Oryza sativa Japonica Group: one gene and its partners. The main gene of each other region encodes a partner of the protein of the gene in region 3 in a complex. Links are inferred from orthologs where the notes say so. Each region holds a gene or a part of one and is shown on either strand. Other genes may lie near its edges. The genes, in order: sister chromatid cohesion 1 protein 2, sister chromatid cohesion 1 protein 1, sister chromatid cohesion 1 protein 4 and sister chromatid cohesion 1 protein 3.

Region 1 (7,076 bases), on a different chromosome or scaffold from region 3:
CACTGGTCAGTCTACTTATCCTATCCTGTCTATTAATATACATCATACTTCTGACTGATTGTGGGGACCGCTCGTCCATTTCTTTGGGATGGTTGAGGTGTAACGCCTTCTCTTAAATGACATTATCTTCATGAACAACATTTTAGTTTTCTCCCTACAACTTTTTCCCTCTTGACATTACCTGTAAACTTTGAAAACTAGTACATGGACACCTGAAATGGTACTGCGAACTTTAAACTACTAGTGGAGCGGGTTACTCACAAAACTACTTTAATCTGATTAGTTTTAGATGGGATCACACAACTTGAAAGGCAAGACTTCTACTGTTTTAGCTTGCTCTGCATAGTTTTAGCAGCTTGTGCTGCAATAGGGTGAGGGTTGCTCAACTGCGCAAATCCTCCCCTGATGCAAGACCACATTAACTTGGACAAGAATATGCTTTAAAATTTTAATCATATATGATGCTTGCATGACCCGCTTGAGTGATATTTGGGTCTCTTTTTGTAATCGTGCTTCTCTCTAACTTGTCTTCCCATGCCTTGCCGATATGAGTTTTGGGATATATCGATATCTGTTCATTGGTTTGATTATTCGTTGTCGTTATTTTGTTCTAACGTGGCCTCGAAGAGCCTCTATAATTCAGCCGGCATTGCCTGTTCGAATGGCCATCCGAGGCCTGTCTGCATTGCTATGGGGGTGGCAGCTGATTCTATGTACGAAAGAGGAAGCACACGCATGTATCATTTTGTCAAGTACTGTTGTGTAGTGCATTGTTCGCTATGTGTACTTTGTGTTTTTCTCTCCCCCTTTTGTACTTTCCTATATCAATGCTTGTAAACATGGAGGACTATTGCTTTACAGTAGTAGGTACTGAGCTAGTATTACATGTAAGTCTGTCTCATTTACAAGAGAGGAGAAGTTGCCGTGTGTGCAAATGCTCAAATTCGGCTCCAGGAAACCAAGAGCGTTCGCGAATCCGCAGACCGGGCACCGTTGCTGAGGTGAGTGAGCTGGTCATGTCCGTAGCCTACGTGTAAACCAAGTGATGGTCCTTGCTGGAAGGTGACGGGCGGTAATAAATAAACTATACCCCCTGGTCACTTTGATCGGTCGGTACGAGGAATGGTTATCCTTCGGGAAAGCACGACTGCATTCAGTAGCGGCCTCGGGTGAGCATCGGTGTCCGAGTTCTCTTCCTCGTCGATTTCATCCTCATCCGCGAGGTGAAATTACCTTCCAGGGTTCGGTTGCAAAATGTACATACGCAAACGGCTGGGATTTAATTTATTATTAAGAAAATAGATTCACTAGATGATTAGAGGTTATAATACCCGCTGTTCAAACTATGTGTGTATGTTCAACAACAATCGGAAAGGGCATGTGAACTAGTGGTGGAATAAGTGGATTGGGAACTTGATTTGTAATACAAATTATTTGTTTAGTTGCTATAAATAAAGAGAGGGGAGGGAATTCATGCTATTTGTTTCGTATGTGGATTTTGAGGTAGGGTGTGTTTAGTTCACGCTAAAATTGGAAGTTTGATTGAAATTTGAACGATGTGATGAAAAAGTTTATAAGTTTGTGTGTGTAGGGAAGTTTTGATGTGATAGAAAAGTTGAAAGTTTGAAGAAAAAGTTTAGAACTAAACTTGGCCGTACTAGAAAATTATTATCTCAATAGTTAGTCACTAGGGCTAAGCTCGAGCATTCCCTTCTTCCGTAGGAACTGATCGGACTCATGTTTCCTTCTCACCAATTACCCTCAATCTTGTGTTACTAAAATATTACGTGGATTTCTAATCTCTCTGTCTATCTACAGTAGTTAATACCTCCGTTCTAGAATATAAGCATTTTTAGAGTTGGACACGGTTATTAAGAAGTTAGAAGTAAATGATGGATGGTTGTGATTGAATGAATAGTGGAGGTAGGTGGGAAAAGTGAATAGTATAGGGTTATGATTGGTTGGGAAGAGAATGTTGGTGTAGAAATTGTTATATTTTAGGATAAATCTTGAGGGCTACAAGTTGTTATATTTTAGGATAGAGGGAGTAGTCAACATGTCTAGCTCGACCGCTCCTTTTATTTGCGATATTGATTCGCATCTTAATATGCTAAATCCATATTATGTTGTTTTAATCCACCAACATTTATGTTGATAAAACCAACTACACCTACCATATAAGTAGAAAACCAAGTAAAAGAATAATAAATGCAGCTTTACTACCTGATAAGAAATACCGTGGAAGTTGATAATAAATGCAGTAAGCAAATAAATTATATTATTTATACATTTGCAAGAGGTTGTAGGAGGCAGGGGGTTAGCCACTTTGTAGGTGGATTTTACCTTATTTTTCTCTGTACAAATAACACATTGTGATATCTCTGGTAACTACTATCTTCTGATCCTATAATCCACTATGCTTATAAAAAAGTGTGAAGTTTGTAATGGCAGAGACGTATTAACTTGATTTTTTTTGAAGTGGTGTATTAAGATGACAACAATCTTATCTCTCAACAGTAGAGATTTAATCAACTTTTTGCTTATTATGCCGTTGTCACGGGATATTTTCCATCATATAATTCTCTCATTGTCATTCAAAAAGGAGAAAGGAGTAACAGAAATAAATCCAAAACAAATCAGAAAAAGGCAAATTTCCAACTTAGGCTATACAAATTAAACGGCAACCTCCATTTTTGCAAGATATTGTTCACAATCACTTACCTCCCTTTTATAGTATATAGTCTCCCACAACGGTATAAATTTATCCCTTCTAGAAAAACCAACAGCACAAATCCAAAACAAATCACCAAAAAAGAAGCAAATTCCCATCCTTACACACGCCTGCAACCTCCACACAAAAACGGAAACTTTTTTCAAACACGCGAAACCACCGGAGGAGGAGTTGTGAAAATACTCTCAAAACGGAGCAAATTACCAACGTTCAATTCTCAAAACGCGAGGGCATCTCCGCCATTTCGCCCATCGCCCCAACCGTTTCTCCTTCTCCTCCTTCCCCTTGAAGCCTCTCCTCTTCTTCCTCCTCCTCCTCTGCTCTCCCTTCGCCTCGCCTCGCCTCTCCTCCAAGAGCGCAACCGTAAAAAAAGAAAAAGAAAAAAAAAACCCGAGGCGGCGAGCTCTCGGGCTGCTTCCGGCTCCGTCCGTAGCGGCGAGGAGGGGGCGGAGGGCCATTGGCGCGGCGGCCCGCGCGAGGCGCGCTTGCATTGTTGGTGGCGGCGGCGGGGGGTCGACGGGGTGGAGGGCGTGTTTTTTTGTTGGCTTGGGGTGGAGGCGGGGGATGTCTTGCTCGAAGGTGCTTCTGTCGAAGAAGGGGGTGCTGGGGACGGTGTGGGTGGCGGCGGTCAGCGGCGTGGCGGCGCTCAGCCGGGACCAGGTGGTTCGCACCAACGTCGTCGCCTGCGTCGGTAAGCGATGCGATGCCCACTCCTCGGCCTCAGCGCGCGCGCGCGAGAGAGAGAAAAAAGTGCGTATTTTTCGTGGGTTTTTATGTCGAATTTGCGGTCTAGGTGGGAGGCAGTGGAACAGTGTGGGAGGCGGTGTGCGGAAGAGGGGTTTATCCGGGGCTTTAGGTTATAGAAATGAAGCGAATCATGTGATGAGAATCTGGTAAAAAAAGAAGAAGAAAGGGAATGGAATTTGAGAGGAGTTGTTTGCTGTCATGGCCTCGGTACCCTTCTATACTGTATTGTGGTAATCGTTGTGGCAATTTGATTTTCCATGTGAAATCTCGAGGTGAAAGGAAAAGGTAGCACCTTGGGTGTAATAACATGGACCTGTGGGTATGGGTTTTTGGATGGTGAAGAGTTTTGTACTTTGTAGATGGCATCGGTTTGGGGTTTGGGGTTTAGGGTCATTGTACGACGACGGTTCTACGTATGGTTCTATTAATAAGGCCCAAGCATATACCCAAGATTCGGGCGCCAACTAGGAATACCTTGTAATCCCTAAATTTAATAGCATTGAACAAATCTAGTAGTCCTGTAAATATTGTTTGGTCTGACTCGTAACGGAAATACAGGTGTCAAAAGTGTGGAACTAATAAGAAGGGAAATGCTATATCCAAAGCATATGAAACAAATTAGAACAGTAAATGCGGGTTGTGACATTTTATAACGCTTTCCTTTTCTAGATCGATTTATTTTTAGCATTCTTTCCCTAATATGCTCGTAACGCTTGCACATTTCCTCTTTCCCCTGGCAGATAAGATTTTGCCTGATGACAACGACAAAACCACATACAGAGTATTGGGACTGCTTCTGCTTGGCATTGTTAGGATTTATTCCAAGAAAGTGGAATACCTCTGCCATGAATGCAATGAGCTTCTTGGATCATATGGATCAGCACATTGCAATGAACTAAGTATCCCAACTGGAGGAGCAACAAATAGAGTTTCAAAGCAAGCGAAGAAACCTGTTCGCGCAAGAAGATTAGTTGTAAGACAAGAAGGTGCTTACAAGGTAAAAATACCTATGCAAGCTGTGCGAACAACTAGAGCAGAAACAAGAGCTACTTCACAGATAACTGAAGTTCGAGACACACATGCTACACCTGATCTTCCAACTTTCACAATACCCAAAAGATTTGAGCTTGACTCTTTTGATTTGGGGATTCCTGAAGATAGGTAACAGGTTTTGGTCCTATACTAGTTTTATTAGCTTGTTGCTTAAAATTGTGGTTTCTGATCTATTTTTAAAACTTTCTTTGTAGGGATGATGATGACGTGGATCATCACCAATTGCCACATCAAGGTAGAACTGCTGTGATTGATGTTTTTACCACTGCTAAGAAACCATTTTATTTACGTTCTGCATTCTTTTGTATAGGTACCATGTTGGAAGATGAGAATCACCATACATCCTGTTTGTTTGAGGTACACTGCTCTCTCCTGTATTGTCCACACCACTTACCGACACATGCATGCACAAAAAAAAAAACTTGATCAAGGGGTAGGACGTCGTCGTTGACTTAGCTTTAAAGAAGGTGCCCACTGAAACCTTGTGCAGCGATGTGGACAGAACTGTGGCACCCAGGATTTGAGCCCTGGGTGGGCGTCACCTTACTGGGTGCTCTACCACTGAGCTACACACTCCATCCAACACATGCATGCATACACGAGCTGTATTTAGTAACATCTGAAATGAAGAAATGGAAAAACTAACTAATGGTATGCATACTAGATAAGAAACACCTGGTATTGCTAAGCATTGATATAGGGTGGCCAGGTGAATGTGTTATCCAGTGATCCCAAAGTGAGGTAGGCTCCCAGGTAGCCGAAAGTACTACTCCCTCCATCCCAATGGTAGGTATTTCTAGCGTTCAAATTTGTCCCAAAATGTAGCTAATTCTCCACCTACCTCGTCATTTGAACCAAGCACAGCCATATCCCGTTAAATTTCTGCACCTACTTTCTCTTCTCAACCGATCACAACCTTCCACCATTCAACCGCACCTATTTTCTTAATTCCCGTGAAAACCTCTAGAACTGCTTACATTTTGGGACAAAGTACTGATTAGGCAAGCACTGTAGTTTTTGAAAAAAAAAAGGACTCGAGTCCGCTAATGCTTTGACTGGCATATACCAAGTCTGTGAATACCAGTGTGATGCTGGCTGCAGTCCTGTACCTTGTGCTAATTATTCTGTTCAACAATTTAGAGAACTGCTACAGGTGCCACTTGTCAGTTGCTGAGGGGTTTAGGGGGTTAGTTCTGTAATTGTCTTATTTTTTTTAGAAAATGAAGGAGAGCTGCGCTTCATTTCATTAAGAAAAAACAAACCACCCATACAACCAAGGGCTCACGAGCCCTTCACACATCTACAAACAGCACCACACAAGGTGATACACGACCAAAAAATCACCCTACAACAGCCTAGTGCCCTTGGGTTAGCGAATTACACCCAGGTTTTCATTTTTTCCCGTGTTATTTATAAATAATACCACATAATTGCTACTCCTTTATTAATTATTATCCAATAACCATGTCTTCCTTTTGTTTCGTATATTATCTGTTTGGGAAACTAAAGCCTTATTTTGGTCCAATGAACAGTCTTATAAGATGATGACATGCTCATACGCTGATCTAGACTCTGCCTGCATTATGCCAGTACGCGTGTAAGTATAGAGATTACTGTCTCAATGATGCTAAAAAAGATTATCTGTACCGAATTTCTGAATGAAGCTTCAATGCAGCACTATCCCAACTGAAATGATGAGTGTCATTAGTGAAGTCAACAGTCTACTATGCTTGAGTAGCATTGGGGGTGAACCTGAAAATCACAATGCTGAATCTGCTTGCTTTACACCAGTGAAGGAGTAAGTATATATGGTGTCACATTTCTCTCTTTACAGTGCGCATACTTTTCCTCTGTTGCCGATGACCTTTTTTTTTTTTCTGGAACAGTATTCTTCCACCTGAGATGGTGGATATGATGGCTGAAGTAAATGATCCTTCAGATAAAAGCACAAGGGGGAAAAAACCTCAAAGAGAATTGAATAGGGATGAGAATGGGAATTCTGCTTGCCACATCCCTTTGTCAGGGTAAGTAAATGTTACTTTTGTGGTTTTACCATATTATGATTTTAATGTCACATCAATTTTTTTTTACTTAAACATTTTTGTGAAAAAATAGTGCATTGATGCTGACCATATTTATTGGTACAGAAGTAAGGAAGTGCAAATACCTGAAAATATTGTGGAGAATGTGACTTTTCCAAGTCGTGATGCAAATTGTCCCACAATTGAAGAATCAGAAAATGGGTCACTGCATGGAACTAACACAAATCCATCATGTGATGGTTTTGAGGAACCCGGGTCTCTTGAACAACCAACTTTGCGCTGTAAGACAAAGCTAATCAATGAGCTGTCACCTTCCACTCCGGAGCCCATGACAGAGGGTGGCACAGGTTTAATTTTTGTGATAAAAATTCCTCTTCTATTTGTGGTCATTATTATGCTTAATTTGTGATGTGTGGGTTTCACTGATTTATTCAGGGCTACCCTGCTCTCCTAAATTTATGGTTACTACACCAGCTAAAAAGGAGAAGCACCGGGTGACTAGA
Region 2 (5,341 bases), on a different chromosome or scaffold from region 3:
CCTCTTTGTTTCCATGACCTTCTAGGACTAGAAGTTTCTAGATGTTCTGTGCACGGTTTTGGGTTCGAGGGAAGATTGAAGAACATGCTATTATGTTGGTGACCGAGGGGAGTTTGCTTTTGTTTCCCTGCTGCCAGGGATTGTGAGTTTGTGTGTGATTTTCACCATCCGATGCTAATCTGATGGACTCGTCATTTGACACAGTTGCAAGTTTTGATATGTCATCAGCTTACTTGGTTCTGATTAGAACATGCTGCATCTGTGTAATGTTGATTTTATGATGATACTATCTCCTTGCAGCATAGTACATTGTTATGTTTTCAGATGTACCTGATGTTGTCATATGACTGATTGTTCTGTTCTACCTGTTGTCTATTGGCGGTTCATGGGACCCTGCTGTTACTTGCCTCTTGTTGTCTTGCTGACTTTGGTAGCAGCCGATGTCTGTATTATGCAGGAGTACTATTCTACAAATGATCTGTGTTTCCTGGCAGCATAAATTTGTCTGTATGTTGTTCCAGTATATGTAGGTCCTCTACATTTGTAGGGTGATGAAGGGCTTTTGCTTCCCCACAGTGTTTCCTCCTCTCTTAATGAAATGATATACAACTCTCTTGCATATTCAAGAAAAAAAAACTGGAAGGGCATTAGGCAGTTAGGCAGGCATTGTCAGTGAGCGATACATGCTTTATGGGGATGAACATTTGACTTTTTCTTGGGTGTCAGTTACTGGTGCCAAGGGAGCAGGTCTGAGGGCCGTCTGGTACTTGAGAAATGTTGCTATCTTAGAGTCTAGGGAATTCCATCACCTTTGGGAACCGGAGGCAAACATTTCTTAATCTTGTATCATGCTCGAAGGACTGACTCTTGTGGGTGTACCATTTCCTTCCATTGTGGCCTGCATCTGATATGTAACCATGTGGCTGTGCCATCATCCCCTTGATCCCTTCGGAACTATGTTCGATAGTTACTGCAATGTTCACGTGATGTTGATACCTGTACTGTTGCAATGAGTTTAACCCTCTTGGAGTCCTGGATAGTTCCTCTGAATGATTGTATCCCAAGGGTCTTTTCAACTTACTTTTGTAAATAGCATAGAGTGGGTATAAGTTGGTGGATGGAGAATGATATTTTGTACCAAGAGTAAAACAGTAATGGTTTGCTCATCTAAACTTGGGGCTTCATGCAGGTATGAAGCAGTAACACTGCCAGAGAATATCATGGATATGGATGTGGAGCAGCCCATGCTTTTCTCAGAGGCTGATACTACAAGGTTCCGGGGAATGGTAATCCCTGTAATATGTATATTTCGGTGGTGTCTGATTGTATGCATTGAAAGATGGCATTAAGTTATGAGCAATAACCACGAGATAGTCTTGCTTTCAGTCTCCTGACTTTTGCCAGATTGTCTCTATTCCTCTGAAATCCGTCATGCATGTGCAGCGTTTGGAGGATTTGGATGACCAATACATTAATGTCAACCTAGACGATGATGACTTCTCGCGCGCTGAGAATCATCACCAAGGTTTTCATTTCTTTTCTTATGAATTACTCTTTGTGGTTGCTTAAGAGGTGTACTTTCTGACTGAAATATGTTATCTCAGCTGATGCAGAAAATATCACCCTGGCTGATAATTTCGGGTCTGGGCTTGGAGAGACTGATGTGTTCAATCGTTTTGAGAGGTGAAGCAAAATTTTATTCTTCTCTTATTCTACCATTCATTTTTTGCACTTCTTGTTCCTTATTTTGGCCAGTACAATTATTCATTGAGCAATGTTACAATGTCACCAGATTCGACATAACAGATGATGATGCAACTTTCAATGTCACTCCTGATGGACACCCACAGGTTCCAAGTAATCTGGTTCCTTCTCCACCTAGGCAGGAAGACTCTCCTCAGCAACAAGAAAACCATCATGCTGCCTCATCCCCTCTTCACGAAGAAGCTCAACAAGGTCAATTCAAGCACATGGTTTGGTCTATTTGATCCTAAATTTGGAAAGGGTACTATCATCCTGTAAATCGGGATTTTTTTTCCAGTTTCCATGCCAAAAGACAACAATTCTCATCTCTGTTTTTTAGCATGCCACAGATGCAAATGATATTTCAAACAAGTAAAACTTCCATCCAAATATATCTCAGTGAATTTATGATTTGATGTAGTTTCTTCAGGGATATGAACTTGATGGTTATGTCAATATCTCTTAACAGCTAGATATTCTATCTTATCATATACTCTGCTATATTATGTTGGTTAAGAAGCTAAAAGTTCACTCATCATCTCCTGTTGCCTTTCTACATTTCCAACGGTTGGATTTTCGCGAGGCTAGGTAGAGATGCTGAGCGATTGCCATTGAATTTGCTACATGTTATGTCATTGAATTTGGCTTTTGTCAACGGGATAATAAAACACATTGTGTAACTTGTCACCATTCACACTAGTTTACTGACTGAAATTCAATTTATATTATATTTGAATCTTTTCTACTTGCTAAACAAGACTTGCATATAGCCTCTTCCTCGTGACTATCTGTACTTCAGTTTGCTATATCTGATATAAGTGCTGGACATGGTTTGGGTACATTAATATGTGCCATAGTGCAAGTGCCTTGTTGCAATTACTGACAACTTTTCTGCAGGGGGGGCATCTGTAAAAAATGAGCAAGAGCAGCAGAAGATGAAGGTTTGTGATCAAGCGAGCCGTTAGCTTCAGGAACATCTAGATGAAGAAGATAATTGTTTTGTTTGATATTGTTTAACCAGGGTCAGCAACCTGCTAAATCATCAAAGAGAAAAAAACGTAGGAAAGATGATGAGGTGATGATGGATAACGACCAGATAATGATCCCAGGAAATGTATATCAAACATGGCTGAAGGATCCATCAAGCCTCATTACCAAAAGGCACAGAATCAACAGTGTATGTAATTGCTTTGATTACCTAATTCTGTGTAGAGTTTTGTAACTATGCAGAATTTTGTGAACATATCTGATGTTTTGCCGTGTAATATTGCAGAAAGTTAATCTTATTCGGTCAATCAAGATAAGAGACCTCATGGACTTGCCCCTCGTTTCTCTAATATCTTCCTTGGAGAAGTCACCCTTAGAATTTTATTATCCTAAGGAACTTATGCAGCTTTGGAAGGAATGTACTGAAGTCAAGTCCCCAAAAGCTCCATCTTCAGGTTACTACACAATTTGTAGTTTTCTTTCACCTTTCTGGATCACCAAGGGAACTGTAAGTTTTTTATAATTTAATCTGCTAAGTTCGAACTGAAAAGGTTGCAATCTTTTTTAAAGGAGGGCAGCAGTCATCATCACCAGAACAACAGCAAAGAAACTTGCCTCCTCAGGCATTTCCAACCCAGGTTATTTCTAAATTTATATGTTTATGGAAATGATTTATGCTAGCTTTTCCTATTGAGCTGTAACATTTACATTCATTCTTGAACTTGTCTGATAAGTGGTTCAATTTGCAGCCTCAGGTTGATAATGACAGGGAAATGGGATTTCACCCAGTGGACTTTGCAGATGACATCGAAAAACTCCGAGGAAACACTAGTGGGGAATATGGAAGAGATTATGATGCTTTTCACAGTGATCATAGTGTTACTCCTGGAAGTCCTGGTAAGTACAAAAAACAATATATTTTATTTATTTAGACACTGAATGACATCAGTCCTGCTGCAGGGCTAAGTCGCAGGTCTGCTTCAAGCTCTGGTGGCTCTGGACGGGGATTTACGCAGTTGGATCCAGAAGTACAGTTGCCATCCGGAAGGTGAGTGTTGATTAATAGCAACCTTCACTAGTTTTCTGAAATATGACTTGTTCCTGGAATAAATAAAAAGTTATCCGTGCAAACTTTTGAAGATGCATGTCTTTATACTGGAGCCTCTTTGGTTTATGTTCCAAAGCATCGAAGTGGTTAGTTGTCTTATTGATGAAGTGTTAGGCAAGAAGAAAAGGAAACGGAGATTGTTACCCCCCCCCTCCAGCGGTAACCGCTGAAAACCACGTGAAATTCGTCCTCAAATATTTGAATTAAAAATCGGCGGTTTTGCGTTTTCGGCACAGTAACCGCGATATTCGCGCGGTTACTGCCAATTGTGTAGCAGAATAGAAACACTCTTAAAAAAGTTTAAAAAAGCACTTAAATGTGTGTAGAAATTGGGGATAATTAGAAGAATATATAGGATACTTGCAAACCTAACTTTTGGGTGTAAAATACAAAAATTCTGCATGACATTTTCTATGTTATGGACTTCGAAGCAATTCAACATTTCGTAGCATAATAATTCAACAACAACAATTCAACAACCTCACATTTGAAAGCATGTGCCGAGAGAGAGCGATAGAGATAGATGAGAGGACCTAGGAGATATTTTTCCCACTTATGGGACTTAATGGGCCAGATAAACAGTGCAACTGTGCAACCTAAGGTCCATTACATTTTTCTTTTTTCCATTTTCTAATGAACATTCGGTTTTACCCTCAAATTTGAATTTATCTTACTCTTTTTCAAAAAATTTCTTCACTGTCTACCACTACAAATCAAGAAGTTTTTTTATTTGTTTGGAATTTTGAATTTGGGCAAAATTTATCAAACCCTACCACCGGTAACCCTTACTGTACCCCCGCGGTAAGCGCGGTTACCGGTGGTAAGGGAAACCCTGGTCTAGGCTACTTGACTATCAACTATCAAGTGGCAGCTTCCTATCTATGGTCCTTCTATTTTCATAGAGGTCTTAGTACAACTGCGTGAGGTCATTGAACAGGTCCAAGAGGCAGCATTCATCTGGAAAAAGCTTTGGGAACCTCGATCCAGTTGAAGAAGAATTCCCATTCGAGCAAGAACTTAGAGATTTCAAGATGAGAAGGCTTTCAGATGTTGGGCCAACTCCAGGTTGACTTCTTTTCAGTCCTTATTTCAAATGATTCTATACAAAAGTGTGGAAATTTATTTCCCCGTCATCATACCGATTAACTTTTAATTTGGTCACAGACCTGCTGGAAGAAATCGAACCTACTCAAACCCCATATGAAAAGAAATCCAATCCTATCGACCAGGTCACACAATCAATCCACTCGTAAGTATTCAACTATACATTATGTTTGTTCCACAGATTACAGTAGATGTATACTCTGTGATCATCAAACTAAATCCATCCAGGTACCTCAAGCTACACTTTGACACCCCAGGGGCCTCACAGTCTGAATCATTAAGTCAGCTAGCACATGGGATGACTACAGCAAAGGCTGCCCGACTCTTCTATCAAGCATGCGGTATGAGTTCTATAATCCCAATGCGAGTCAACAGATGATGCAATCGCTAGAGTAAACA
Region 3 (6,390 bases):
TACACCTGGCCTAATGGAAGAGACTGTTCCTTCCAGAGTGCATGAAAGTCCTGTTCTGAGTCCACAGCGAAAAGCTTCACCATCAAGCAATGATGAAACTGCAAAGACAGCTGAAAATGCTAATGATCTTGTGGGTGCTGAGACGACTGAACTTGCATTGACAAAGCCTGTGCAAATTGAATCTTCTGGTGCTGTACAGGAGATTGATTCCTTGAGTCAACAATGTGCAACTGAGGAATTGCCACCCCAAGCTGAAACCTCAAACTTGGAAGCTACCATGGACAAGTCAATGATAAATACTGATGGTGTAGCTGCATCAGGTGAAGCTACAGCTGCTAAAGAAACCACTGAAGTGTCATTGGTTGAAAATTCTTTAGAGCTATGCGCTGATGGTCCTACTGAACCTGTGATTGAGAACCAAACACAGTTTAATGATGGATCAGTTGATGTGCAAGGTAAATTGACTATTCGTTGATTTTGTTTTTAAAGTCATTGTATTTGATAAAAAAAAGGTGAAATCATCTGCTTTTTGATTATTTGTTTTGCAGGGGGCGGTCAGCATGCACCTCATGCTATCTTAGCAACTGCAGATTCCCAAGTGAATGTAGAAGCATCAACACAAGAAATGGCATCTAACGATATACCAAGTGACCTACCAACCTTGGAATTTCCAGAACGTGAGAAAATGCTGTCAGCTCCAGACGTTGAATTGTACCAGGCAAATGACTTGGGCCAGGTAACTGCAGAAAAGGGAACCACTGAATCTGATGGAAGTAACAAAGTAGGTAGTCTCACTAGCAGAAAAAGACACTTGGAGGACAGTTTGCCAGCTCTCGAAAGTGCAACTACTGAAAAATTGTCTAGCAGACCACGTGGTAAAAGAACCATTGATGGTATTCCTGATGATGATGATTTACTGGCGTCTATATTAGGTATGGATGAACCTCCTCAACAATAATTGTGCCTGGCTTTTGCTGCATTGTCTAACACTAACTGTGTGGACTTGTATTTAGTTGGTAGAAGGACCCCTGGACTGAGGCTTGATTCAACACCAATACCACCTAAGACGTCATCTTTGAAACGTCCAAGGTTGACGTCAAAGAGTACCACACCGAAGAGAAAAGTGCAAATGGATGATGCCATGGTTATACATGCTGAGTATGTATACGCCTCATAGCCTTCAAACAAGTTTGTTGAATGGAACTGTGTGACTGTTGTTCTTTAGTGTTATGTCCTTAAATTTCTGCCATCACTGTCTTCTGATGGGAAACAAATAGTATATTTTTTCCGTATATTCTTGTAAATTTTGTGCAGTATATACATTGAGTTGATTGGTCCATCTCTGGAAATCAGATTGCGGACTATTTTGCTGTCCAAATTATTTTCTGCTGTGATATTATTTACTGAGTTTCTTCCATTCTCCAGTACCATACGGCAGCAGTTGATCAGCACTGAGGATATAAGGCGCATTCGTAAAAAGGCTCCATGTACCCGTTCCGAAATATGGATGATCGAGAAAGGTTCCTTAGAAGATGATATATTCCATGAGCCCATCTTTTCCTGTAAGCTACTTAAATTGGTTTTTATTCTCTGCTTCCTCTTTACACATTTACTGTATGTTCAATTCAATTAGGAAAGAACTGAAACAGAAGTGAAATTAGTTTTGATATATGAGGATAATTAGTGGTTAGTTTTATGCTCTGAAATTCTACTGATGCATGTTTGTGTTCCCAACTAGGCATGTGCAAGGAGCTAAACGATTTGCAATATCGGACCTATGAGATTGTTGCTCATCCCACCATTCATAATATGGAAATACATGTACGGCTAGACATGTCCCAAACTATGGCAGATGGCAGCAATGATGTTGGCACCTCTGGCGCAAAGGACAGTGGAAATCACCAAGATCATGTAGTGCTACCAGATGGAGCTGAGTCAGATGCGATGCATCCTGAAGCAACTGATGCAGCAGATACTAGAACTGATTTTGATTCACACATGCCATCTGACAAACAGGTTAACAATGTTGAAGGAGTAACTGAACAATTAACTGATAATGAGAAAGAAACTGCAGTTGTTGAGAAAGCAACCACTAATATGGGTGACAGTGCTCAAGTTGATTCACTTGATAAGGAATATCTTCAAGATGTTCCAGCTGATCTGCAGAGGAGCACAAATACAAATACACCTCTGTTTGTGCTAGATGACATGCCTGGTCCAGATGTGGTTCTGGATAGCTCTGATCCAGTTTCTGCACAAGCAGTGGATGATATGAAAGGGGAGTTGAGTGACATTGTCCATGACAATGTCAATGCATTTGACAATAAGGATATGCCGACTTCTGAGATTACCGTACTGGAATTTACTCAAAACGCTTCTGGTTTTCCTCAGCCAACAGAGGATGAAAATGTTCTGTCCGCAATGGGTGAAAATTCTGGATTGCAAGAAAATCATGTAGGATCTGTTATGGATCTGGACAATATGGGGCATGACTTTTCACTAAAGGAATGCAGTGTAAGTCCATATAGAAGTTTCCACTTGTCTTCAGACACTTGTCAGATGACTTGTGTTTCTCTTAATTCCACAATGTAGCATGCTATACAGTACTTGCACTATTTTATTCAGTCGTTATTTGAAGTCCATGGCATAATTGGTATGCTGTTCACATTGCAGGATTTTGGCAGTGCGATTCAGGGTGTTGACACAGGTATTGCCTTTTGTTCTGATACATAAGTGTAAACTAGTGTAGTAGTGTTCTAATATAATGTGGATTATGTGTACAATGCTTTGTAGGTGCAGCAGAAAACTAGCTAAATACCCATGCACAGATTTTCTAATAAATATATCATCAGTTCGAAACTCAAAAAGTGAGCATATTTATCCTGAGAATCATATGTAATTTGCAAGACGCATATTACAATGTCAAAATAAAAACAATCTTATTACAAGACGCATGCTCAGATATTCTAATTATTCACAGAAGGGTCAGGCTGACTCAAGAAGTGGCGGTGGGATTTCAGACTCACCATAACCACCATTCCTAGGTTCTTTTGTATTAGTAGAAATAAACATGACATTAACCTTCATGACTAGTGCAATATCCGTTCTTAATTGTATTTTATATGCAAATTTTGTGATGGGAACTTCCACACGCCCGTATGTGACACTGGTGGATCTTACTGTTCTAGTGTTGCATCGCGAGAGGTTTATAAGTTTTATGACTTGTGTCATATTTGTACTCTACACTTTCAGATTTTCTGATGTATGATGATGAGGTGGACTGTGATGAGGCTAATGATGATGAGCCTAATCCTGAGGAATTCCAGTCTCTTGATAACAGTGGATGGTCTTCACGTACTAGGTACGATTGGATTTCGTGATAATATTCTCAGGGTTTAATGCTCAATATTTTTTTGAGTTCTATAATGAGTTGTTACAATTGCTCTTCAGGGGTGTTGCAAGATATCTCAAAACTTTATTTGATGAGGAATCTGGTCTGGGAAGAAAGAGTGTGGCCATTGATCATCTGTTAAGTGGAAAGACTAGGAAAGAAGCATCAAGGATGTTTTTTGAGACATTGGTAAGACGGTTATGCTTTTCTGTTTCTCCACTCAAGAAATGGAATACCTACCTTCAGCTCCAGTGTGATTGGAGGCACCTAGAATTGCATGATCAAGAATACGCCATTCATTTTATATTGCATGTTTCGATTAGCCATCTTCTCATTAGACAATCTTACTGGCATCAACCAATTTCTGTAGTCATTGTCAAACTAGACCTGCAATGGTAGCTTAAATTGTTTTCTCGAATCATTTCTGTTGACATTATCCTTGGTACTTATTGTGTTCTGTTCCATTCACAGGTTCTGACAACAAAGGACTTCATAAGTGTGGATCAACCAAACTCCTTTGATTTTGTCAGCGTTAAGCCAGGGCCAAAGCTCCTGAAGTCAGATTTCTAGATCAAAAACCAGCTAGCGTGGCGCGATACATACAATCTTACCATATCTGTCACATTACCAACAACATACAGATCTCGCATCGCCGTGACCGTCATTTTTGTTTTGTTCTTTTTAATTTATCCTCCCTCTGTAGTATCCCCGCACTAATCTGTGTTTACTAGGCTTCTTGGGTAGGATTCTGTTGTACCCCCCTCCGTGTTGGCTATTCAGTGTATATATGATTAGCTCTTGTAAAGTTGCTTGTGTAATGTGATAGCATCAGCTCCTAAGTCCCCGTCTATTGTTGCTTTGAATAAACCTTCAAACCTGTATACTTCTCTGACTTTGAGCAACCTGTCGATTAATTTCAAATTTATTCAGATTCGTAGGTCAATCGTGAGAAAAGAGATAACCTTTTTTTGTTTGTTTTGCCTGAAGTGGAGGGGAAAGGTTGCTCAAAATTCTGTATTGGTATTATATCATTACAACCACTCTGCTGGTGATCCGAGTCACCAGCATGAACGTCTGAGTGACCATTGAGCAATGTGGGGCGTGTGATTAAAGCAGCTTTGATCCCTTTCTAGCACATACGTAAAGTGACACGCTGCTGTGTGCTCTCGCTATTCGCAGAAAATGTAAAAGCATCAGCAAATGCAAGACAGAATTGGCAGAGAATAAGGTGTTTGGAAAATGGAAATTCTTGGAAGGATGACAAGTATTAATCGACGGCCAAAAGGACAGGGGAAAGCCGACCAGAAATGAAGAACGGAGCAGCGAATGTCGGTGCCGAAATTGTTTTTATCTGCACGGTTAGCACAGGGTTTTCGTGTCGCGCGTCTCACTAGCTCACTGCTCATGAAAGACTGAAGTGAAGCCTAGCAAGCATTGCCACCTGACGAGTGACGACCATACTTTGATCGATGGATGGATGTATGGGCGCCGCAAGGCAGTTTGTCCCATTGTCCGGCATTGCTGCCGATTCCTTTGCCTCGTGCGCGCGGCATCCTCCACCAACAACGTCCGCACGAATTCCACGCCCAAACACCGGCAATTCCCGTGCAAAATCACGCGACACATCTCCGCGAACTCAACGCCACGCACGCGCGCGGACGCAAAGCCGCGCGCGCGAGCCACGCCGTTGCCTTGCCACCACGGCGATTTTCATGGCGTCGTGCGCGCGAGATGCCGAGATCCGCCTCGCGTGCCCAGCGCCATCCTGTCGGCTACAGTACGCCGATCAGTGGAGTTCCCATGGGTTGATCAGACGGACGGCGAGCCCGTGCGTGAACAGTAGGGTGACAAGCCACACCCAGCCAGTCAGCCACACGAAGTGGCATATATCTCGAGCTATAGCCTGACCTGACCTGCTGTTTAGCTTGTTACTACCTGTAGCGCCTCGGCTCTCACCAAGCAAGTGTCGGTGCATTGTTTTTTTTTCCCTTCTTCCTCTCTCAAAATATAAGAGTTTTTATCCAGATGTGACATATCATAGCACAACGAATCTAGACAGAGATTATATCCCGATTTATTGTATTAGGATATGTCACATCTAATAAAAAAATCTTATATTTATAGACGGAAGGAGTACCTGTTATTCATTACCATTAGTAGTACAACTCGATTGGTTATTATTTCTTCCATGAGAAATGTCCTATATATATAGCTAGTTTGGAAAATGTTTGCTTAAATTGGAAATATGAGATTAGCTTAATTATGTGATCAAAATCGATGCCCTTTGATCTAGAGGTGTATATATATGTACATATGTGTAAGCATGATTAGGCGAAGAAAGTTCAAGTGTGAGGTGTAACCTGTTATCTTATTCGGCGGATGCATGAGGCGCACATGGCATGTGACGCCGTACGCCGATGTTGGTTGATGCACACTAGCATGGATGATGTGTGCATTGTCCTCATTCCTCCTCCATTATATGGCTAGCTCTTCACAATGATTAACAAATAATTAAGCTATAAGCACGTCCCTCGTCTCTCAATTCCTTCCGATCTGAGCATTTTGTCACCACTTCCCTGTTCCGTCTAATTTAATGACCTAATCCAAGACCGTATCTGGGTTAGAAACCAACAATCTCAACGTTTCCTCTCACCTTAAAAGGGTACTAGTACAACGATGTAAAATTGTGGTACTACTACCTCTTTTCCTGTCGTCAAAAGGGAGATTTTTACATTAATTCCCTTCTCCTGTCGATCATCCAACTCATCAACTACTTTTGACCTAATATTTTCCCTTTTTTTCTCTCTTTTTTTTTCCAATGTGCTTGCATTACATGATTACATCCATGAAGGTTGGGCTGTCTGTACGGCACTCATTCATTCGTTCCTCTCACAAACACTGAAGCCTGAAAACGATTGAGAAGCAACACAAGCTACTCCTAGCTAGGAAGGCATGCAGACCTAACATAATCCAGCATCACTTAGTGGGTCTAATAAAAA
Region 4 (5,885 bases), on a different chromosome or scaffold from region 3:
GTTCTTGGGTGTGTTTGTCAGTTTAACCTCCTCTTTTTCTATCTATTTTCTTCTTAAAGAAATGAAGTTCAGTCCTCCCGCATTTTTGAGAAAAATAGGTTACATATTTTCCTTAGTTAAGTATTGAACAATTTTCTCATATACATTGAATTTTCCCTATGCTTTACTCTGCAACCTAATGCCATGTCTTCTAATGCATGAGTTTTATTTTTTCAGAATTTATCATGTTCCCTGAAGTTCCAATTGCTCTGAGGTTGTCAGGGCATCTTCTTCTAGGTCTAGTTCGCATTTATTCATGGAAGGTAAACTACCTCTTCCATGACTGTAACCGGATGCTAAGCACAATCAGAACCGCCTTCGCTTCTGTACAAGTAGATCTGCCCCTTCATGCGGATCATGCGCCTTTTGACACCATCACATTGCCTGATACATTCCGTCTTGATGACATAAACCTAGATGATGCAATTCGTCTGATAGAGTGAGTACTTTTCTTCTCATATATTTTCTCCGCGTCATACAACCTCAACTAATATTATTGTGTTAACTTTCTGACAGTACGCCAGATAATCATCGGAAGAGTCTGGACCAGATCACCCTGGCTGGTATACGAAGTTCAATTAGTCAATATATGTATTATTATCATTCCAATGCGGATGCTTAATGATTTCATTTTGGTGCTGCAGAAGGAGACTATCTGATGATTGATCTTGATGAGGTATTCCTCACTGACTTGCGCTTTTTGCAGGCTTGTTTAGTTTGCATGTTTTTTAATATTTGTGCTTATAAATTGTGTAGGATGCTAGAGTAGAGCTATCAGCTCCTGGACAATCTTCACACATGGGACCTGAACCAACTGACGAAGAGTACGTGTCATGTTTTTTTTCCTTCTAATTTCTATTTTGGTGGACTCATGTCCGCTTTGCTTATCAGGAGATTGCCTCCATTTCACATCGATTTTGGGCCAAGTGACAATATGGATGAGGAAATTTCCGTAGATCCTTCCCAAGGCAACAACTCGGAGGCAGTGAACACCAGTAACATAAATCAGGCAGATAAAGCACCAGATTTACCTGAAATAATGCGTGAAGCACCATTTGAGGGCCCTGAACTTAACTTGCCAGATATTGATGAGGTAAACAATGATCCCATGGATGTGACTGAGGAATCTTCACCATTTGTGTCCAAGAATATCACCCCTCCGGCACTGGAACGAACTATATCCCCTGGTCAAGGTGGATTATCTGGGACATCCATTCCCAATGCACGAGGAAGTACAAGCACCACATATGACAATATAGAAGATGTTATACCAATGGATATTGGTTAGTATTTTGCTTGTTGACTCATCTTGTTCTTTCCAGTTTTGTTTTCTGCCTTCATTTTTTCATAAGACCTAATAGAAATAAGACTACATTGCAATTCCACCAGCATTACTTATGTGGGATGCTAGAATGTTGTGTAAAATGTACTTTCCCTTGATGTTAAACATGTCTTCTCATCCAAGTTCTTTTCCTTCTGTGATTTTAGGAATGCCTGATTTTAGGATTGAACCATCTCCACCTCGAGTACAAGATGAGATGAATGCACAACCAGTACAAGGTGAGATAAACGCACAACCAGTACAAGATGAGATGAACGCACAACCAGTACAAGATGAGATGAATGCACACCCAGCACAAGATAAGAGGAGAATTAGATATGACAATGAAATAGTGTTCTCCAATGCGTAAGTTCGACTTTACAAATTATCTTCTTAAGCAAAGTTCATTGGTGGAAATAACCTCAAATTAAATATTATATGTTTACCAGGACTTCGATGAATTTTTGAAATTCATATTGTACTATGTCTTGCCTGGGCGTTTTGTTTAAAATCTACCAAATGACATCTTCATTTCTACCATGTCCTGTCTCCTCTGATCCTATTACTCTGTCCCCTCACCTACACCACCCTTCGAATATTGTTTTTCTAAACAGCTTATCTATAAATAGAATAATTCTATGTGTGCTGTTATCAACCGGTAATTAACTCGTCTAATAATTTTGATATATTTGTATGGGATTTGTTCTGTTCAAAAATACAAGTCAGGCTATGAACTTTTTACCATCGTAGTGCTAGGTGTGATGGGGATTAATTGCAACAACAGTATGATATCTGGTGGTACTATACTGTATTAGTTACAAATGATAAGACCTCATACTCTCTTGCACAGTTATATGAAGAGACAAATTGATGGCGGTGAACTACATCGTCTGGTCAGCAAGAGGAGGAAACTGCCTCAAGCAGCGGTGGATGTGTGGAAATTCAACAGGATTCGCCAAAAGGATGGTTTCTTGCTTGATCCTTTGGTCCATGGTAAGCTACCATACTCTCTGATTCCACTAGTGATGGTCCTTTCACTTCTGAAACAATGTCAGCTCAAATTTGCTCTTCCTTTCAGGGATGTGCGCTACCCTACGTCAAACCTACGAGAGAACCTTCCCCCATGTGATTGACCCTGAAGCTGAGTCAGGATCTGTCGAGCATACTCCTGGGGTAGCTAATGACAGTATTCAGGATACACATGATCATCAACTCTCCCCGAAGTCTCCTGGAAACACAGATGCACAACCTGAACATCAGTTCAATCAACAAGCTCCAAGAAATTCAGATGGACAACCTGAACCTGAGCTTAACCCAAAGTCTCCTGTAAATGCAGAGGCACAACCTGAATCTCAGATTAATCCACAATCTCCAAGAAATGCGGATGGACAGCCTGAACCTGAGCTCAACCCAAAGTCTCCAGGCGAAGCAGGCACGTCACACTTTGATGATATGCCTGAGATCCCTCGATTCTCGCCACAAAATATTCCATCTCCAATAAGAGACGACAATTCTCCTTTCAAAACTCCTGGTGCTGGTGGAACTCCGAAATCAAGACTTGGAGAAACTCCTGCCTCTGGGACACCAGCAGATATGAGTTACATGTCACCTGGACAAGACTCTGATCCTCAAGTTTCTCCTTTTCCATTTAATGATGAACTTGATGGAGATTTGCCCGAGATTCCTAGCCTCATGAGTACTCCTGGAGTAATATCTACCGCAGGTACTGGCACCACAGGATTGGGAAGCATGTCTGCTAGGACAAGGTATGGGATAAGTTCCAATAGACGATTTCATTATATGTTACCATTTGAGTGTGAATTCTGACATGTTTCATACTGCATTGTAGGGCTGTGGCACAGTACTTCAAAGATCAAATGGCTTCGGCTACATCAGATGACCAACCTGGTAAATTTATCTTGAACAGAATCTTGGAAGGGAGACACAGGAAACAAGCTGCACGCATGTTTTTTGAAACACTGGTACCATTTAAACTGCAAGTTACATTTCCCTTTTGGACATAATTTGTAGTCACTTTCCACACTATGTCTTGACATATCGTATGTTTGTTCTTTCTGTAGGTTCTAAAGAGTTATGATTATATTGATGTTGAACAAGAAGCAGCCTATGGTGATATAGCAGTTTCAGTTAAACCCTCACTCTCAGGAGCCAAATTTTGACCAATTCAGTTGCTTAGAACCACATATAATCTCATTTGATCCGCGGGAAGGAGCTTTGGTGGGATTTGCAGAAATGGCCTGAACAATGGATTCTTATATGCGACATGGCTGGCTAATCTACTGCAATTTGCTGGACTCCAATTACTAGAACAAGTAGGCACTCCATGCCATTTAGGTTTATGTTGCAGAATACTGTAGTTGTAAAGCTGTAGCATTAGTAGTTGTCGAAAGCCAATACATCTTGTCCAGTTAGGACTTCAGATGGTAGTCCTTGCCTATGCTTTCTTGGCAGAAAGCAAAGTGAACAAGGAATCAGATGAAGATAAGAATTTTTCTTACTTTTGCTGTTTAATTACATGGTAGTGATATGTTAAATACAAGTCGAAAAATGTTGGATGACTAGCATAAGACAATTTTATAAATGTCAGTGTACATAGTCTGATATCTTCAGTGTGCCAGAGCGCAGAGTCTGTTCAGAAAATTTTCATGCAATATGTGTTCTGCAATGCACCATTATTTGTTGTATTTGTCTGAAGTTTACCTTGCATGATTTTATTACTTCAATGAGATCCAAAATTAACTGTCCTTCAATGGCAAGGATCACCCTTGCCCATTATCAATCATACAATGGAACCAAACATACATTTTTCTTTCCATTTTCATCATTTGTTTTAATTTTTACTTGGTAATAAATTTTAAAATTAAAATGAAGGTTTTGAGAAGTTTACTCCTTTTGGGTTTACCCCAGTGCAAACTTAAGGTCAAGCCAAATGGCCCCTTAATAACCTTATATTATACGTGTCATTAATTTGCTTCGGAGGTTAAAGATAGATCTGATTATGAGACTACATGTTAATTAAACACTCTATCTTTAGCTTCAGTATTATTTTGATATGAATATAGAATAAACATATTTATTATTCTTAATTGAATATATTCATATGTTCTTCCTCCACATACATATGGCATTTCTAGCTCAACAAATTTTATATTTGTGATTTCTTAGTATCTATTCAATCTCCTTTTTAATGATATATATGATCTTCCAACAAATCCATGATTTACTGATCTATGTTCATTTTGTATCAAGATTTTATCAATTGAGCATGCACACACACATGGATGTTGGGACCTATTCCTTTGCACAACTCAAAGGAAGACATTAGTCCTAATAAATCGTTTGTCATCCTCCACTTGATGACCAACCGGTTGCCTATGAAAGATATGAATGTTTATTGAGTATTCATTAACACCACAAGTATCATATACTTGCATGCAAGCTTAAGTGCAAAGATCCAATATAAATAATAGGTGAACAACATGTATCTAGAACATGCACAATAAATGTATAAGATTTGCTCTCCCTAAATATATTCATACAAAGAAATATATAAGAGAGGCAAGTGTATGCACAAGTAGAGAAGAACCAATGGGGTTTATCCTATACACATGGAGAAGGTATGTAGCAATGATAAAGACAAACATAAACACATACCTTTATCATCTCCATGTTCTTAATGTAAAGAACACTAAATAAGAAAATGCTCAAGTAAACATTAGTCTCGCACTTATATAACAATAACATGGAAATCATATATATGAATCTATCAAAAAGTATGAGATAAGAAGTGATACATATCGCTTTATCTCCATGCATTTCATCTTTGTCATGATTAAGATCCACCACCAAAGAATGCATATCTACCACATCTCATCATCGGGGAAAAACTTCTCATCATTTTCACTTTCATATACAAATAAGACTTATTGTTTTTATTTCCATATCACAATGAGACTAAAAAAAACTCATAGGAACATTAGTCTCTATCGGTGATATGGGCCCGGGGGTACCCAGACTATGAAGAAGGGCCTGCCCTTGGTGGCCACGTGGCCTTCCCCCAAGGGGGTTCGGCCCGAGGCAAGGCGGCAGCCGTTCCTCACACACCCCGGGGTCGGGTCACCCCGACCCCCACTGCGCGGCGCCACGTGTGCCGCGCCAGACGGGCGCTCCTAGTGCCCACCTAACCGCACTTAAGGCGGTCTGAGCGAGCGCTCCGCACGCAGCATTTATTGCGGCGTGGTGTGTCAGGCCGGTCTGTGACCGATGATTGACATGGCCGGGGTAGTGCGCCTGCGCGCTGGTTGCATGTCAGGCGTCCTGCCGCCTGACACCCACCGTCACGTCGCAATTGTGAGAGGCAGATCAGCCTCTAACGTCTACCGGAGACAGTTTGCCTAATCCGTTTAGGGCAGGGTTCCCATCTCCCGGTACAAATGAGGACCCAAAAGTCCTCACTCTTTAAATGCCGAATGACGGCTGTGTCTCCTGTGTCAGGCGAGAGGAT

The links.
Region 1: sister chromatid cohesion 1 protein 4 (region 3) and sister chromatid cohesion 1 protein 2 share a complex: the UniProt entries of both Arabidopsis thaliana proteins name them as parts of the cohesin complex. The link is inferred for Oryza sativa Japonica Group from reciprocal best matches to the Arabidopsis thaliana genes SYN4 and SYN2.
Region 2: sister chromatid cohesion 1 protein 4 (region 3) and sister chromatid cohesion 1 protein 1 share a complex: the UniProt entries of both Arabidopsis thaliana proteins name them as parts of the cohesin complex. The link is inferred for Oryza sativa Japonica Group from reciprocal best matches to the Arabidopsis thaliana genes SYN4 and SYN1.
Region 4: sister chromatid cohesion 1 protein 4 (region 3) and sister chromatid cohesion 1 protein 3 share a complex: the UniProt entries of both Arabidopsis thaliana proteins name them as parts of the cohesin complex. The link is inferred for Oryza sativa Japonica Group from reciprocal best matches to the Arabidopsis thaliana genes SYN4 and SYN3.

Annotation. Positions count from the first base shown.
Region 1 is NC_089038.1:24,873,468-24,880,543, forward strand, and holds the start of sister chromatid cohesion 1 protein 2, read left to right. Parts: upstream 1-3,066; 5' UTR 3,067-3,295; coding exon 3,296-3,422; intron 3,423-4,218; coding exon 4,219-4,639; intron 4,640-4,725; coding exon 4,726-4,766; intron 4,767-4,841; coding exon 4,842-4,888; intron 4,889-6,063; coding exon 6,064-6,128; intron 6,129-6,206; coding exon 6,207-6,329; intron 6,330-6,417; coding exon 6,418-6,555; intron 6,556-6,678; coding exon 6,679-6,920; intron 6,921-7,008; coding exon 7,009-7,076. UniProt on the Arabidopsis thaliana protein: May be involved in sister chromatid cohesion during mitosis.
Region 2 is NC_089039.1:29,076,059-29,081,399, forward strand, and holds part of sister chromatid cohesion 1 protein 1, read left to right. Parts: intron 1-1,189; coding exon 1,190-1,286; intron 1,287-1,443; coding exon 1,444-1,525; intron 1,526-1,604; coding exon 1,605-1,683; intron 1,684-1,792; coding exon 1,793-1,956; intron 1,957-2,640; coding exon 2,641-2,684; intron 2,685-2,764; coding exon 2,765-2,920; intron 2,921-3,016; coding exon 3,017-3,185; intron 3,186-3,300; coding exon 3,301-3,368; intron 3,369-3,479; coding exon 3,480-3,627; intron 3,628-3,690; coding exon 3,691-3,778; intron 3,779-4,775; coding exon 4,776-4,903; intron 4,904-5,002; coding exon 5,003-5,087; intron 5,088-5,170; coding exon 5,171-5,283; intron 5,284-5,341. UniProt on the Arabidopsis thaliana protein: Involved in chromosome condensation, pairing and segregation during meiosis. Responsible for cohesion between replicated sister chromatids.
Region 3 is NC_089035.1:39,654,804-39,661,193, reverse strand, and holds the end of sister chromatid cohesion 1 protein 4, read left to right. Parts: coding exon 1-455; intron 456-548; coding exon 549-932; intron 933-1,013; coding exon 1,014-1,158; intron 1,159-1,425; coding exon 1,426-1,562; intron 1,563-1,738; coding exon 1,739-2,514; intron 2,515-2,673; coding exon 2,674-2,707; intron 2,708-3,252; coding exon 3,253-3,361; intron 3,362-3,450; coding exon 3,451-3,580; intron 3,581-3,862; coding exon 3,863-3,961; 3' UTR 3,962-4,334; downstream 4,335-6,390. UniProt on the Arabidopsis thaliana protein: Involved in sister chromatid and centromere cohesion during mitosis.
Region 4 is NC_089042.1:10,218,828-10,224,712, forward strand, and holds the end of sister chromatid cohesion 1 protein 3, read left to right. Parts: intron 1-216; coding exon 217-478; intron 479-555; coding exon 556-602; intron 603-683; coding exon 684-715; intron 716-795; coding exon 796-863; intron 864-930; coding exon 931-1,322; intron 1,323-1,527; coding exon 1,528-1,726; intron 1,727-2,210; coding exon 2,211-2,353; intron 2,354-2,438; coding exon 2,439-3,126; intron 3,127-3,209; coding exon 3,210-3,342; intron 3,343-3,441; coding exon 3,442-3,540; 3' UTR 3,541-4,065; downstream 4,066-5,885. UniProt on the Arabidopsis thaliana protein: May be involved in sister chromatid cohesion during mitosis.